Linked DNA regions of Arabidopsis thaliana. The protein of the gene in region 1 interacts with the protein of each later gene in a pairwise test. Each region holds a gene or a part of one and is shown in the gene's direction. Other genes may lie near its edges.

Region 1 (8,008 bases):
CTAGGAGAAGCCTAAGCCGGAGTCCCATTCGATCACCTAGGAAGAGTGTGAGCAGGAGTCCAGTCCGATCATCTAGGAAGAGTGTGAGCAGAAGTCCGGTTCGTTCATCCAGGAGACGTATCAGCAGGAGTCCAGTCCGATCATCTAGGAAGAGTGTGAGCAGGAGTCCTATTCGATTGTCCAGAAGAAGTATCAGCAGGAGTCCTATTCGATTGTCCAGGAGAAGTATCAGCAGGAGTCCTGTTAGAGGAAGAAGAAGAATTAGCAGAAGTCCAGTTCCGGCAAGGAGAAGGAGTGTGCGGCCTAGATCTCCTCCTCCTGACCGCAGAAGAAGTTTGTCAAGAAGTGCTTCTCCTAATGGGCGCATAAGGAGAGGGAGAGGATTTAGCCAAAGATTCTCATACGCCCGTCGATACAGAACTAGTCCATCTCCTGATCGATCTCCTTATCGCTTTAGTGATAGGAGTGACCGTGACAGGTGAATAGCCCACACATAATATAACTCCCCCTTTCTGTTACACACTCTCGTACTGAACCGTCTTTTTTATAACGTCTTCTCTGTAGATTTAGAAGTCGCAGAAGGTTCTCGCCAAGTCGGTTCAGAAGCCCACTAAGAGGAAGAACACCTCCAAGGTACTTATCCTCTTTAGTACATTGTTTCAGCTGATTCTTTACATCTAAAAGTTTCATGAATATGGAACTAAAATTGGTGATCCAAAAGAATTATTCTTGATTTCACAACTCGAAAGTATGCTCAGGTATAGAAGAAGAAGCCGCTCAGTATCGCCTGGTCTCTGTTATCGCAACCGGCGGTACAGCCGCAGCCCTATCCGTAGCCGATCTCCACCTTACAGAAAGAGAAGGTCACCATCCGCTAGCCACAGCCTGAGTCCATCGAGGTCAAGATCAAGATCAAAGTCATATTCAAAATCTCCCATTGGGACGGGGAAAGCAAGATCAGTGTCAAGATCACCATCCAAGGCAAGGTCTCCATCGAAGTCGGATTCGACATCCTCGGATAATAGCCCAGGTGGGAAAAAGGGATTAGTAGCCTATGATTAATGAATAATGATTACCCTTAAGTTAAGTGTTTGTTCTTTTTACTGAGAAGAGATGGTAAAGAGAGTAAGTAGTTTACTTCTGTAAAACATAAGCATTGTCTTTTGCGTATGTTTGTTTGATTATGCTCCAAGATTGTTAAAAATTTCTGTTGATGTTTGCCGACATTTTTTCTTTGTTGCCATTTGCCGACAAATGTTAACTTCCATTATTCGTTGCGGAGTTGGTTTTGGTCCAATAATTAAACTTTCATAAAATTAAGCATAACTAAATGTGACGTTTGTCACCAAACTTTAGAACAACGACATCGTAATTTATTTATTTGGATAATCAATATAATTTACGATTTCTTCCTACATATATATCATATCACTATACCACCGTCATTATCACTATCACTAAATATAAAAATGTTAAAATGATTTCTTAATGGAATTTTTTTTGTTAAAAGTTTATTGACACAAAAAATGAATTAAAACTCAGAAATCTGTATACTGAATTAAAACTTGTAAATATAACAACAAAATGGGATTAAAAAAAGAAGTGGCATCCATTTAAAAATTATTTGCGAATTCGCCCGTAACTTCTTAAGCTAACAATTAGAACCTAATCAACACTAGTTATTTTGAGTCCACCGACAGGTGATAGCAAATAAAAAAGAACAGGCTGGTACCAGAGCCAACAACAACGTGGCTTCTTCTTTTTTTTTTTTAATATAATCAAACAATCATACTTTGTCCTATCTCTTTCTTGCAATAAGATTTTGCCACGTCACATACTAAGAAGCTGGCGCGTCTAGTGGGGAAGCCAGAACGGCTCACTTTAAAAAGTAGAGAGATGATAACTTGAGCCGAATAGAGCCGAGCTGAGCTAAAACGGTGGGAGAGGAAGAGGCTACTACTACCGTCACCATCTCCGGTAAAATAATGTACTTGTCATTTAAAAATTAAGAAAAAACACATCACTCTGCGATAAAATAGGCAAAAGCAGATTTGAAGAAGAAGCAGCTTGAGATATCAAATAGAGAGAGAGAGTGACAGAGGAGTGTGTGAACATCCTTTTTTAGTAGATTTGGGTTTTCGAGATGCCGTATTGAATCGGCTACGAATTTCCCAATTTTGAATTTTGTGAATCTCTCTCTTTCTCTGTGTGTCGGTGGCTGCGATGGAGGCCAGTGCCGGCTTGGTTGCTGGATCCTACCGGAGAAACGAGCTCGTTCGGATCCGACATGAATCTGATGGCGGGGTCTGTTCATCTTCCCTTTTTCCCATTTTTTTGTTATTGTTTTTCGTTCTTACAATTTTTGATGTGTAGATCTCATCTAGATTTCTCTGTTTCTAAATCTCGTCTCTTTTGGATCCATAATTGGATCATTGAAACTCAGATTTCGCTTCCTTTGACTGTGTAGTTAGTTAGTGTCAGTTGATCAAGTAAGTGTCTGAAAATGGAAACTTTTCTGCTCCAATTCTTCAAATTGTTGTGATCTATATCAATTAATGCCGCATCTGTTTTCTTAAAATCTCTTATGGAAAGTGTCGGTGGATTTCAGTTCGTTAACTTTTTTAAGCTAAAATCTTTGACTCTTAAAGTTTAGCTTTACTTATTGAGATTTAGCTCAACTAGATCTCGTTAGTTCCCGCCATGGGATACAGACTGTGACTCGCCTTAATTCAGATCTGCATTGATTGTTTTGATTTAGATCCTTGCTCATCTCTTTCTGTAGTTTCTAATACTCAATGACTAACAATGATGCAATGTTGGTCAAAGTGCAGACCAAACCTTTGAAGAATATGAATGGCCAGATATGTCAGATCTGTGGTGATGATGTTGGACTCGCTGAAACTGGAGATGTCTTTGTCGCGTGTAATGAATGTGCCTTCCCTGTGTGTCGGCCTTGCTATGAGTACGAGAGGAAAGATGGAACTCAGTGTTGCCCTCAATGCAAGACTAGATTCAGACGACACAGGGGTCAGTTGTCTTTTTCTTTTTGTTGGCAATTGCTATATATGGATTTTCTCTTTTTGTTTCTTTGCTGTTGTGTTGAACAATTTTTTGGAATTTTCCAGGGAGTCCTCGTGTTGAAGGAGATGAAGATGAGGATGATGTTGATGATATCGAGAATGAGTTCAATTACGCCCAGGGAGCTAACAAGGCGAGACACCAACGCCATGGCGAAGAGTTTTCTTCTTCCTCTAGACATGAATCTCAACCAATTCCTCTTCTCACCCATGGCCATACGGTAGGGACCTACATTTTCCCTTTAGACTCTAGAGTGATTTGTATTACTCAATAAATCCCTAGAGTGGTCATTTATTACTTACTATTCACGTTAATGTTATATGTGAACAAATCTTAACAGAATTTTTTTCTGATAGTACATGGTCATCCAAATTAAGAAATAATAATAGATGTTGTTAGTTGTGTCTGTTTTCAATAGATTCATGACCTTTTTCTATACACAGGTTTCTGGAGAGATTCGCACGCCTGATACACAATCTGTGCGAACTACATCAGGTCCTTTGGGTCCTTCTGACAGGAATGCTATTTCATCTCCATATATTGATCCACGGCAACCTGGTATTCATATGTTTTTCCCTTGTGCACGTGGTCTTTGTTAAATGTGATTCCTATTCATTTTTACAACATATATATTTTGTGTACCGTAACTGATAGCTCCCGCTAAAAATTGCAGTCCCTGTAAGAATCGTGGACCCGTCAAAAGACTTGAACTCTTATGGGCTTGGTAATGTTGACTGGAAAGAAAGAGTTGAAGGCTGGAAGCTGAAGCAGGAGAAAAATATGTTACAGATGACTGGTAAATACCATGAAGGGAAAGGAGGAGAAATTGAAGGGACTGGTTCCAATGGCGAAGAACTCCAAATGTAAGTGGAAATACTAGACCAATATCTTTATTGTCCAACTCAAACAGCTCTTGGCCGTGATGCTAATAACCACTCTTGGTTTCTTATTATGTATTGATAGACATAATTAAGTATCTGCTTTGTTACATTTGTTTCCTTCCACTCAATTATGGTTCTCGTACTTACAGGGCTGATGATACACGTCTTCCTATGAGTCGTGTGGTGCCTATCCCATCTTCTCGCCTAACCCCTTATCGGGTTGTGATTATTCTCCGGCTTATCATCTTGTGTTTCTTCTTGCAATATCGTACAACTCACCCTGTGAAAAATGCATATCCTTTGTGGTTGACCTCGGTTATCTGTGAGATCTGGTTTGCATTTTCTTGGCTTCTTGATCAGTTTCCCAAATGGTACCCCATTAACAGGGAGACTTATCTTGACCGTCTCGCTATAAGGTTGGTCTTTAAGTTTATACATCCCCTACTCTCATCTCTCTTTTATGTATTAACTTGATATCTTCTATCACAGTTTTCGATAGTTGACTTTTTCCCCCTGTAAATTTAATTTAAATTTAGACAATGGTGCATCTGAATTTTGATTATGATATATCTTAAGAAGATTATGATTGTAAATCTTGAAATTTAGTAGAAAACCATCTGCAATCTACTGACCATGTGAAGTTTCCGACTAGACTATGATAGAAGCATGCCAAGTGGAGTGTTTATTAAGATAGAGCTTAGCTATTATACTGATTTTATATGTGTTTTGATTTTTTGGTTTCTTATTGTAGATATGATCGAGACGGTGAACCATCACAGCTCGTTCCTGTTGATGTGTTTGTTAGTACAGTGGACCCATTGAAAGAGCCTCCCCTTGTTACAGCAAACACAGTTCTCTCGATTCTTTCTGTGGACTACCCGGTAGATAAAGTAGCCTGTTATGTTTCAGATGATGGTTCAGCTATGCTTACCTTTGAATCCCTTTCTGAAACCGCTGAGTTTGCAAAGAAATGGGTACCATTTTGCAAGAAATTCAACATTGAACCTAGGGCCCCTGAATTCTATTTTGCCCAGAAGATAGATTACTTGAAGGACAAGATCCAACCGTCTTTTGTTAAAGAGCGACGAGCTATGAAGGTCATTTGAAAAGTCCACCTGCTTCTCATCCATACGGCAAAGAGATTGACTGACTTTTTCTTTGGTTTGTATTGACAGAGAGAGTATGAAGAGTTTAAAGTGAGGATAAATGCTCTTGTTGCCAAAGCACAGAAAATCCCTGAAGAAGGCTGGACAATGCAGGATGGTACTCCCTGGCCTGGTAACAACACTAGAGATCATCCTGGAATGATACAGGTACAGTGTGGCAATCCCTTGATTGTGACAGAGAGGATAACGTAAAGGAAACATGTTTACATCGTTTTGTTTCAATTTCAGGTGTTCTTAGGCCATAGTGGGGGTCTGGATACCGATGGAAATGAGCTGCCTAGACTCATCTATGTTTCTCGTGAAAAGCGGCCTGGATTTCAACACCACAAAAAGGCTGGAGCTATGAATGCATTGGTTTGTTAACTTTCAGAATCCTATTGTGTCCTCTATTTTATTCTCTTGTTCACTGCCTAAGAAACGTTCTTCTTGTGTAGCCGTTGCTTCACATTCTTTTTTTTCTAGGCTATGTGTTCTCTCCTAATTTAGTATCTCTTTACTTTGACAGATCCGTGTATCTGCTGTTCTTACCAATGGAGCATATCTTTTGAACGTGGATTGTGATCATTACTTTAATAACAGTAAGGCTATTAAAGAAGCTATGTGTTTCATGATGGACCCGGCTATTGGAAAGAAGTGCTGCTATGTCCAGTTCCCTCAACGTTTTGACGGTATTGATTTGCACGATCGATATGCCAACAGGAATATAGTCTTTTTCGATGTGAGTATCACTTCCCCATTGTCTTTTGTTTCTCTTTTGTTCATATTTTGGTTGGATTTACTCGTTTCTGCTATGGCCTGACTTGGATATTTGTTCTCTTGGGCAGATTAACATGAAGGGGTTGGATGGTATCCAGGGTCCAGTATATGTGGGTACTGGTTGTTGTTTTAATAGGCAGGCTCTATATGGGTATGATCCTGTTTTGACGGAAGAAGATTTAGAACCAAATATTATTGTCAAGAGCTGTTGCGGGTCAAGGAAGAAAGGTAAAAGTAGCAAGAAGTATAACTACGAAAAGAGGAGAGGCATCAACAGAAGTGACTCCAATGCTCCACTTTTCAATATGGAGGACATCGATGAGGGTTTTGAAGGTTTGATTGAGCTGATTGTGTAATAACATCACTTCTTTATGTAATGATTTATGTGATGGTGAAATCTTACAATCCTTGTTTATGCAGGTTATGATGATGAGAGGTCTATTCTAATGTCCCAGAGGAGTGTAGAGAAGCGTTTTGGTCAGTCGCCGGTATTTATTGCGGCAACCTTCATGGAACAAGGCGGCATTCCACCAACAACCAATCCCGCTACTCTTCTGAAGGAGGCTATTCATGTTATAAGCTGTGGTTACGAAGACAAGACTGAATGGGGCAAAGAGGTCAGTTTTCAAATGCAGCTACAGAATCTTCTTATGTTCTCTTTCTTACCTGTTTGATGACATCTTATTTGGCACTTTTGTTAGATTGGTTGGATCTATGGTTCCGTGACGGAAGATATTCTTACTGGGTTCAAGATGCATGCCCGGGGTTGGATATCGATCTACTGCAATCCTCCACGCCCTGCGTTCAAGGGATCTGCACCAATCAATCTTTCTGATCGTTTGAACCAAGTTCTTCGATGGGCTTTGGGATCTATCGAGATTCTTCTTAGCAGACATTGTCCTATCTGGTATGGTTACCATGGAAGGTTGAGACTTTTGGAGAGGATCGCTTATATCAACACCATCGTCTATCCTATTACATCCATCCCTCTTATTGCGTATTGTATTCTTCCCGCTTTTTGTCTCATCACCGACAGATTCATCATACCCGAGGTTTGTAAAACTGACCACACTGCTATTTACTATTTGAATCCCATTTTGTGAATGCATTTTTTTGTCATCATCATTGTTGCAGATAAGCAACTACGCGAGTATTTGGTTCATTCTACTCTTCATCTCAATTGCTGTGACTGGAATCCTGGAGCTGAGATGGAGCGGTGTGAGCATTGAGGATTGGTGGAGGAACGAGCAGTTCTGGGTCATTGGTGGCACATCCGCCCATCTTTTTGCTGTCTTCCAAGGTCTACTTAAGGTTCTTGCTGGTATCGACACCAACTTCACCGTTACATCTAAAGCCACAGACGAAGATGGGGATTTTGCAGAACTCTACATCTTCAAATGGACAGCTCTTCTCATTCCACCAACCACCGTCCTACTTGTGAACCTCATAGGCATTGTGGCTGGTGTCTCTTATGCTGTAAACAGTGGCTACCAGTCGTGGGGTCCGCTTTTCGGGAAGCTCTTCTTCGCCTTATGGGTTATTGCCCATCTCTACCCTTTCTTGAAAGGTCTGTTGGGAAGACAAAACCGAACACCAACCATCGTCATTGTCTGGTCTGTTCTTCTCGCCTCCATCTTCTCGTTGCTTTGGGTCAGGATCAATCCCTTTGTGGACGCCAATCCCAATGCCAACAACTTCAATGGCAAAGGAGGTGTCTTTTAGACCCTATTTATATACTTGTGTGTGCATATATCAAAAACGCGCAATGGGAATTCCAAATCATCTAAACCCATCAAACCCCAGTGAACCGGGCAGTTAAGGTGATTCCATGTCCAAGATTAGCTTTCTCCGAGTAGCCAGAGAAGGTGAAATTGTTCGTAACACTATTGTAATGATTTTCCAGTGGGGAAGAAGATGTGGACCCAAATGATACATAGTCTACAAAAAGAATTTGTTATTCTTTCTTATATTTATTTTATTTAAAGCTTGTTAGACTCACACTTATGTAATGTTGGAACTTGTTGTCCTAAAAAGGGATTGGAGTTTTCTTTTTATCTAAGAATCTGAAGTTTATATGCTAAGCTTTTCACTTTACTACAAAAAGTTTATGGATATGATGGTGTACGT
Region 2 (5,292 bases), on another chromosome or scaffold:
AAACTTGTATGATTTGTAGAAAAGAGAGAGAGGAGGAGTGTCTATATGTTTTTATTTCTTTTTGTCTTGGATCCATTACCATATCTATAGGTCTCAGATTCTATGTTTACAACCTAAACTGTTTTCATTATCTATGAAATATTTACAATTTAGCAAAAAAAACAATGACAATCTACTCATCAAGAGGACTAGATGATGACTTTCAAATCTTTTTTTTTTGGTTTTTTTTTTTTTTGGCAAAGATGACTTTCAAATCTTTGCAAACAAAATCAAAATGTAAAAAATGAGAGAGAGAAACCAAAAATAATAATGAGAAAATAGTCTATTAAGAAAAGATGTACGTAAGAATTAAGTTAAAATGTAACACTAAAATAAAAGAAAAAATCAAATGTATGATAAGACCCTCATCAAACCATTATATTGAAGTAAATTATATATGTATGAAAATGAAATATCAAAGAGTTCTTTTACTCTCACTTATGACACGCTAAATTAAAACCACTAAAAACCATAATATTAATTTCACGGCTACAAGTTGATGCTTCCTCAAACTTACTACGTTCCAATGCCGGGCACTGATTAAATATGGACTTCACATCTTTTTTTTTTTTTTTAGATATTCATTTCCAAACGGTCTATTGACAGATGGGCTAAGAATTTCACGGGTTACAAAAAAGTGGTCCAAATCGGAACATAATAGAAACAAGATCAGTAAAACGACGGTTCACCGGCCGGAGACGCAGCCTTCACCTTCTATATCCGATGCAAATTTAACATATTTCGAACGAATCTATGAGATCTATATGAGAATTTTGCTTCTTGGGTTTTATACGGTTCGGGAAAGTGGATGTATCAAGTTGTGACAAGAAGCATCAAAGAATATGACTTTGTCCAGTCATTTTTATGGTATAGTGATGATCGTCAATGATCATAATTGGCTAGGAAGAAAGAGCACATGTGCATTCATATGATTATCATAATTGTGCATATCATATGCTTTTATGGGCATAGTTGTCGATAGAAACAAAACATGCGTCGAGGAAAAAACAAAAGAATAGTTAAAACTTAGAATCTTTGATTCTCATGAGCCATGAGGCCATGTGCTTTTTCTCTCCCACGTTATATGTTTTACCATCCTTATAATTTGCTCCCCCGACTTCTCTCACTTTCAGACGAAAAGAACTGCTGTCGCGATTTTTGAACAATTATGGAAAATAATTTAGATGTGAAGGAAGCCGTAAAAATAGTTATTATACTTTTTGTCCATATATATAGAATTCGTGATGATTATGTTGTGGATGACAATTGGTGGTAGATAGAAACCTTTACTATCGCCATTGTTATGGGCTAATTAATCAAGTTTGGTAACAAATCAACATAATAGGACCAATAACAACAACTACTGCAGATCTTACTATTATTCTTTTTATTAATTCATCAGTATATTTTATTATTTTTTCTTGATTGTTTATCCGATTGATCTTGTAAGAGATAACTTTTGATTATTACATAACTTACTTCAACATGTTAAATGACACAATAAAATAGACAATTTATTTTTGATATCCTTTTGAAAAATATTAAATAAATATTTGTAATGACTGTGTTGCACTAAAAAATCGAGATAACCCCATGAGTGATAATTTGGTAACATAATCTAAACTTAGAGACAATTAACTAATTAAGTTATTATCTGAGAAATAAATTAGACAATATTTTTATTCGTGTGTGTAATTTTTGTGGTATAATATTTTTTCTTATATTGTTTCAATTCTACGGATGTTTTGGATAAAAAGGTTAATCAAATTTATAAAATGTAAAATTTTGCTTGAACAAATGAACCAAAATGTTTACTAATTGGCTAATTGCTGGAAAAAAACAGTTATATAATTTTTGTTAACAAAAAAAATGTTTGATGTAAATAATTAATTCACAGCTAAAAGTCAATTTCCTCATTTATTTTTGATTAAAGAAAGTAATAAAAAACAATTAAGTATACCATTCGCTGTACAAGAGTCGTTTAGTTCTGTCGGCTCGACAACCGACTCAAGCCGGCTCGAGTCGCTAAGTGAATCCACTCGCTGTCTGTCGGTGGACAAAGCCGGCTCCAATCTGATCACTCTCTCTCACCAGCACACACACAGCTCTCTCTCTTCCCTCTCTCTCTCCCCCGCTTTATACTTTGTTGAGTCAAAATCACAGACGAAGAAGAAGAAGAAACCTCTCTCTCACTCCTCTCTCCTTTCTCTCGTCTTATTCGCTTCTCTTCTACGTAACAGATTGTTCATCTTCTTCTCCTTGTTGCATTGAGGTGAGTTCAATTTGATCTATCAATGTCTAAATGCATGCTTTTTGAATTATCGGATCTCTTGTGTTTGATTTCATTGATAGAGATCCAATTATGATCTAGATCTGAAGAATCCTGTTTTTTGAGTTCCTATTGGTTAAAAAGTTTCCTCATTTAGCTTTAGTTCGAATCTGGAATGTTAAACGATTCGGATCGAGATTTAGCAGTAGTAGAATTCAGTTAGGTAGAGTGATATTTTTATACTATTAGTCTTCAATTATAATATAATTGCATTGAGCTTTTCCTACTTCACTGTATCGTTTTCTATTGTAAAGATTGATCCTTTTTATATATTATGCAGGGGGTGTTGTTGATGTTCTGACGATCTGATTTGAGTAGATCTGGGTAGGGGGCAAGGTCTCTGGGTCTACTTTTGATTTGAGAATTTTTTAAGTGAAGTGAAGATATGACAAGTGCTCTTGGATGGAGATTTCCTTCCACTAATGGAAATGGCCTTGCCCCAAGTGACACGGTAATAATTACTTGATTCAGTATTAACATTCATCACACGGGTTTATGGAAAAGCTTGTTTAGTTGATATACTGCAATCTTTCTGAGTTGCAAAGTCAGATCTGGTGTATTAGCAGGATGATTAAGCTGATATGTCCCTTGCATTTTGAATCTGATTTGAAAAAAGTACTTGAGCTAAGTCCATTGTTAATTAATGGCTTTGTACCAGTCAGTTATATCTGATAGAGTGTCATGATAAAGGTTATAGTTTTTCCATTGCATAGGAGCGAAAAGGTCTTGTTGCTCTTTTAACTTATTTTCTGTTGTTTGGTCTTGATTGCAGGAGAGAAATGGGGATATGAAGATGCATGATTCAGAGCCCCCAACTCCACATTCAACCACAAAGATGAGTTTGAGGTAACGCATATATGTATTTGGTACTGCATGGGAGCTAATCATCGTGATAAAATTGAGGTTTTATCTGTATTTGTTGCACCACCATCTTGGTTTAACAATGCCTGTGGAAATTAATATTATCTGGATTGGTTTCCTATGTTATCCTTTCAAATGAGACATTTTAAGCAGAAAGGCACACCTATTAGCGAATTAGTATCTAACTTTCCCCATCCCCTGCAGAGACCGGACAACCAGCATGGAAGATCCAGATGGGACATTAGCAAGTGTTGCCCAATGCATTGAGCAGCTGCGCCAAGGTTCATCATCTGCACAAGAAAGAGAATATTGTCTGAAGCAGTTACTGGACCTTATAGAAATGCGTGAGAATGCATTCAGTGCTGTCGGATCACACTCCCAAGCTGTGCCAGTACTTGTCTCTCTTCTCCGATCGGGATCAGTTGGAGTGAAGATACAAGCTGCAACCGTCTTGGGTTCACTCTGCAAGGAGAACGAACTTAGAGTTAAGGTGTTACTTGGGGGATGCATTCCTCCATTGCTTGGTCTTCTCAAGTCCAGTTCAGTCGAAGGGCAGATCGCTGCAGCAAAGACAATCTATGCTGTTTCTGAAGGTGGGGTTAAAGACCATGTTGGATCAAAAATATTTTCCACTGAGGGAGTTGTACCGGTTCTGTGGGACCAATTGCGCAGTGGAAATAAAAAAGGAGAGGTTGATGGTTTGTTAACTGGTGCACTTAAGAACCTTTCTAGTACCACAGAGGGATTTTGGTCTGAGACAATTCGAGCTGGGGGAGTGGATGTACTTGTGAAGCTGCTCACAAGCGGGCAGTCAAGTACACTATCTAATGTCTGCTTCCTTCTTGCGTGTATGATGATGGAAGACGCCTCTGTTTGTTCCAGTGTATTGACTGCAGACATTACAAAACAGCTTCTCAAATTATTAGGATCGGGTAATGAAGCCCCAGTGAGGGCAGAGGCTGCTGCTGCTCTCAAGTCGCTTTCTGCTCAATCTAAGGAAGCAAAGCGGGAAATCGCTAATTCTAATGGTATTCCTGTTTTAATAAATGCAACAATAGCTCCATCTAAAGAATTCATGCAAGGTGAATATGCGCAAGCATTACAAGAAAATGCAATGTGTGCCCTTGCTAATATTTCCGGTGGTTTGTCATATGTCATATCAAGCCTTGGTCAGAGCCTTGAATCTTGCTCTTCGCCTGCTCAGACTGCCGACACCCTTGGGGCTTTAGCTTCAGCATTGATGATATATGATGGCAAGGCAGAAACTACAAGAGCATCAGATCCATTGGTCGTTGAACAGACTCTGCTGAAGCAGTTTAAGCCTCGTCTACCATTCTTGGTGCAAGAACGTACAATTGAAGCACTTGCAAGTTTGTATGGGAATTCCATACTCTCTGTCAAACTTTCCAACTCGGATGCAAAACGTTTGCTTGTTGGTCTAATAACGATGGCGGTGAATGAGGTTCAAGATGAGCTTGTAAAGGCTCTTCTGATGCTGTGTAACCATGAAGGTAGCCTGTGGCAAGCACTACAGGGCCGTGAAGGGATCCAATTGCTAATATCTCTTTTGGGTCTTTCATCCGAACAGCAGCAAGAATGTGCTGTTGCACTTCTTTGCCTTTTGTCTAACGAAAATGATGAAAGCAAGTGGGCCATCACTGCTGCTGGAGGTATACCTCCACTTGTTCAAATTCTAGAGACTGGGTCGGCCAAAGCCAGGGAAGACTCTGCAACTATCCTTAGGAACTTGTGCAATCATAGCGAAGATATACGTGCTTGTGTTGAAAGTGCGGATGCTGTCCCTGCTCTCTTATGGCTACTAAAGAATGGTAGTCCAAATGGTAAAGAAATTGCCGCCAAGACATTGAATCATTTGATTCATAAATCAGATACTGCAACTATCAGTCAGCTTACTGCTTTGCTGACCAGTGATCTACCTGAGTCTAAAATTTACGTTTTGGATGCATTGAAGAGTATGCTTTCTGTGGTCCCATTCAATGACATGCTACGTGAAGGCAGTGCTTCCAATGATGCTATTGAGACAATGATCAAGTTGATGAGCT

The links. Proteins that work in one complex are often made in the same cells at the same time.
Region 2: the proteins of CESA1 (region 1) and CSI1 interact in a two-hybrid assay, tested with the Arabidopsis thaliana proteins (one study listed by BioGRID).

Annotation. Positions count from the first base shown.
Region 1 is NC_003075.7:15,640,604-15,648,611, reverse strand, and holds the start of CESA1 (cellulose synthase 1), read left to right. Parts: upstream 1-1,767; 5' UTR 1,768-2,223; coding exon 2,224-2,304; intron 2,305-2,831; coding exon 2,832-3,027; intron 3,028-3,125; coding exon 3,126-3,298; intron 3,299-3,521; coding exon 3,522-3,636; intron 3,637-3,751; coding exon 3,752-3,941; intron 3,942-4,108; coding exon 4,109-4,375; intron 4,376-4,710; coding exon 4,711-5,056; intron 5,057-5,134; coding exon 5,135-5,272; intron 5,273-5,353; coding exon 5,354-5,479; intron 5,480-5,630; coding exon 5,631-5,843; intron 5,844-5,949; coding exon 5,950-6,214; intron 6,215-6,301; coding exon 6,302-6,498; intron 6,499-6,582; coding exon 6,583-6,933; intron 6,934-7,015; coding exon 7,016-7,603; 3' UTR 7,604-8,008. Other genes in the region: AT4G32420 (Cyclophilin-like peptidyl-prolyl cis-trans isomerase family protein), read left to right, coding at 1-478, 565-633, 759-1,062. UniProt on the Arabidopsis thaliana protein: Catalytic subunit of cellulose synthase terminal complexes ('rosettes'), required for beta-1,4-glucan microfibril crystallization, a major mechanism of the cell wall formation. Involved in the primary cell wall formation.
Region 2 is NC_003071.7:9,404,040-9,409,331, forward strand, and holds the start of CSI1 (binding protein), read left to right. Parts: upstream 1-2,019; 5' UTR 2,020-2,311; intron 2,312-2,648; 5' UTR 2,649-2,753; coding exon 2,754-2,819; intron 2,820-3,140; coding exon 3,141-3,214; intron 3,215-3,433; coding exon 3,434-5,292.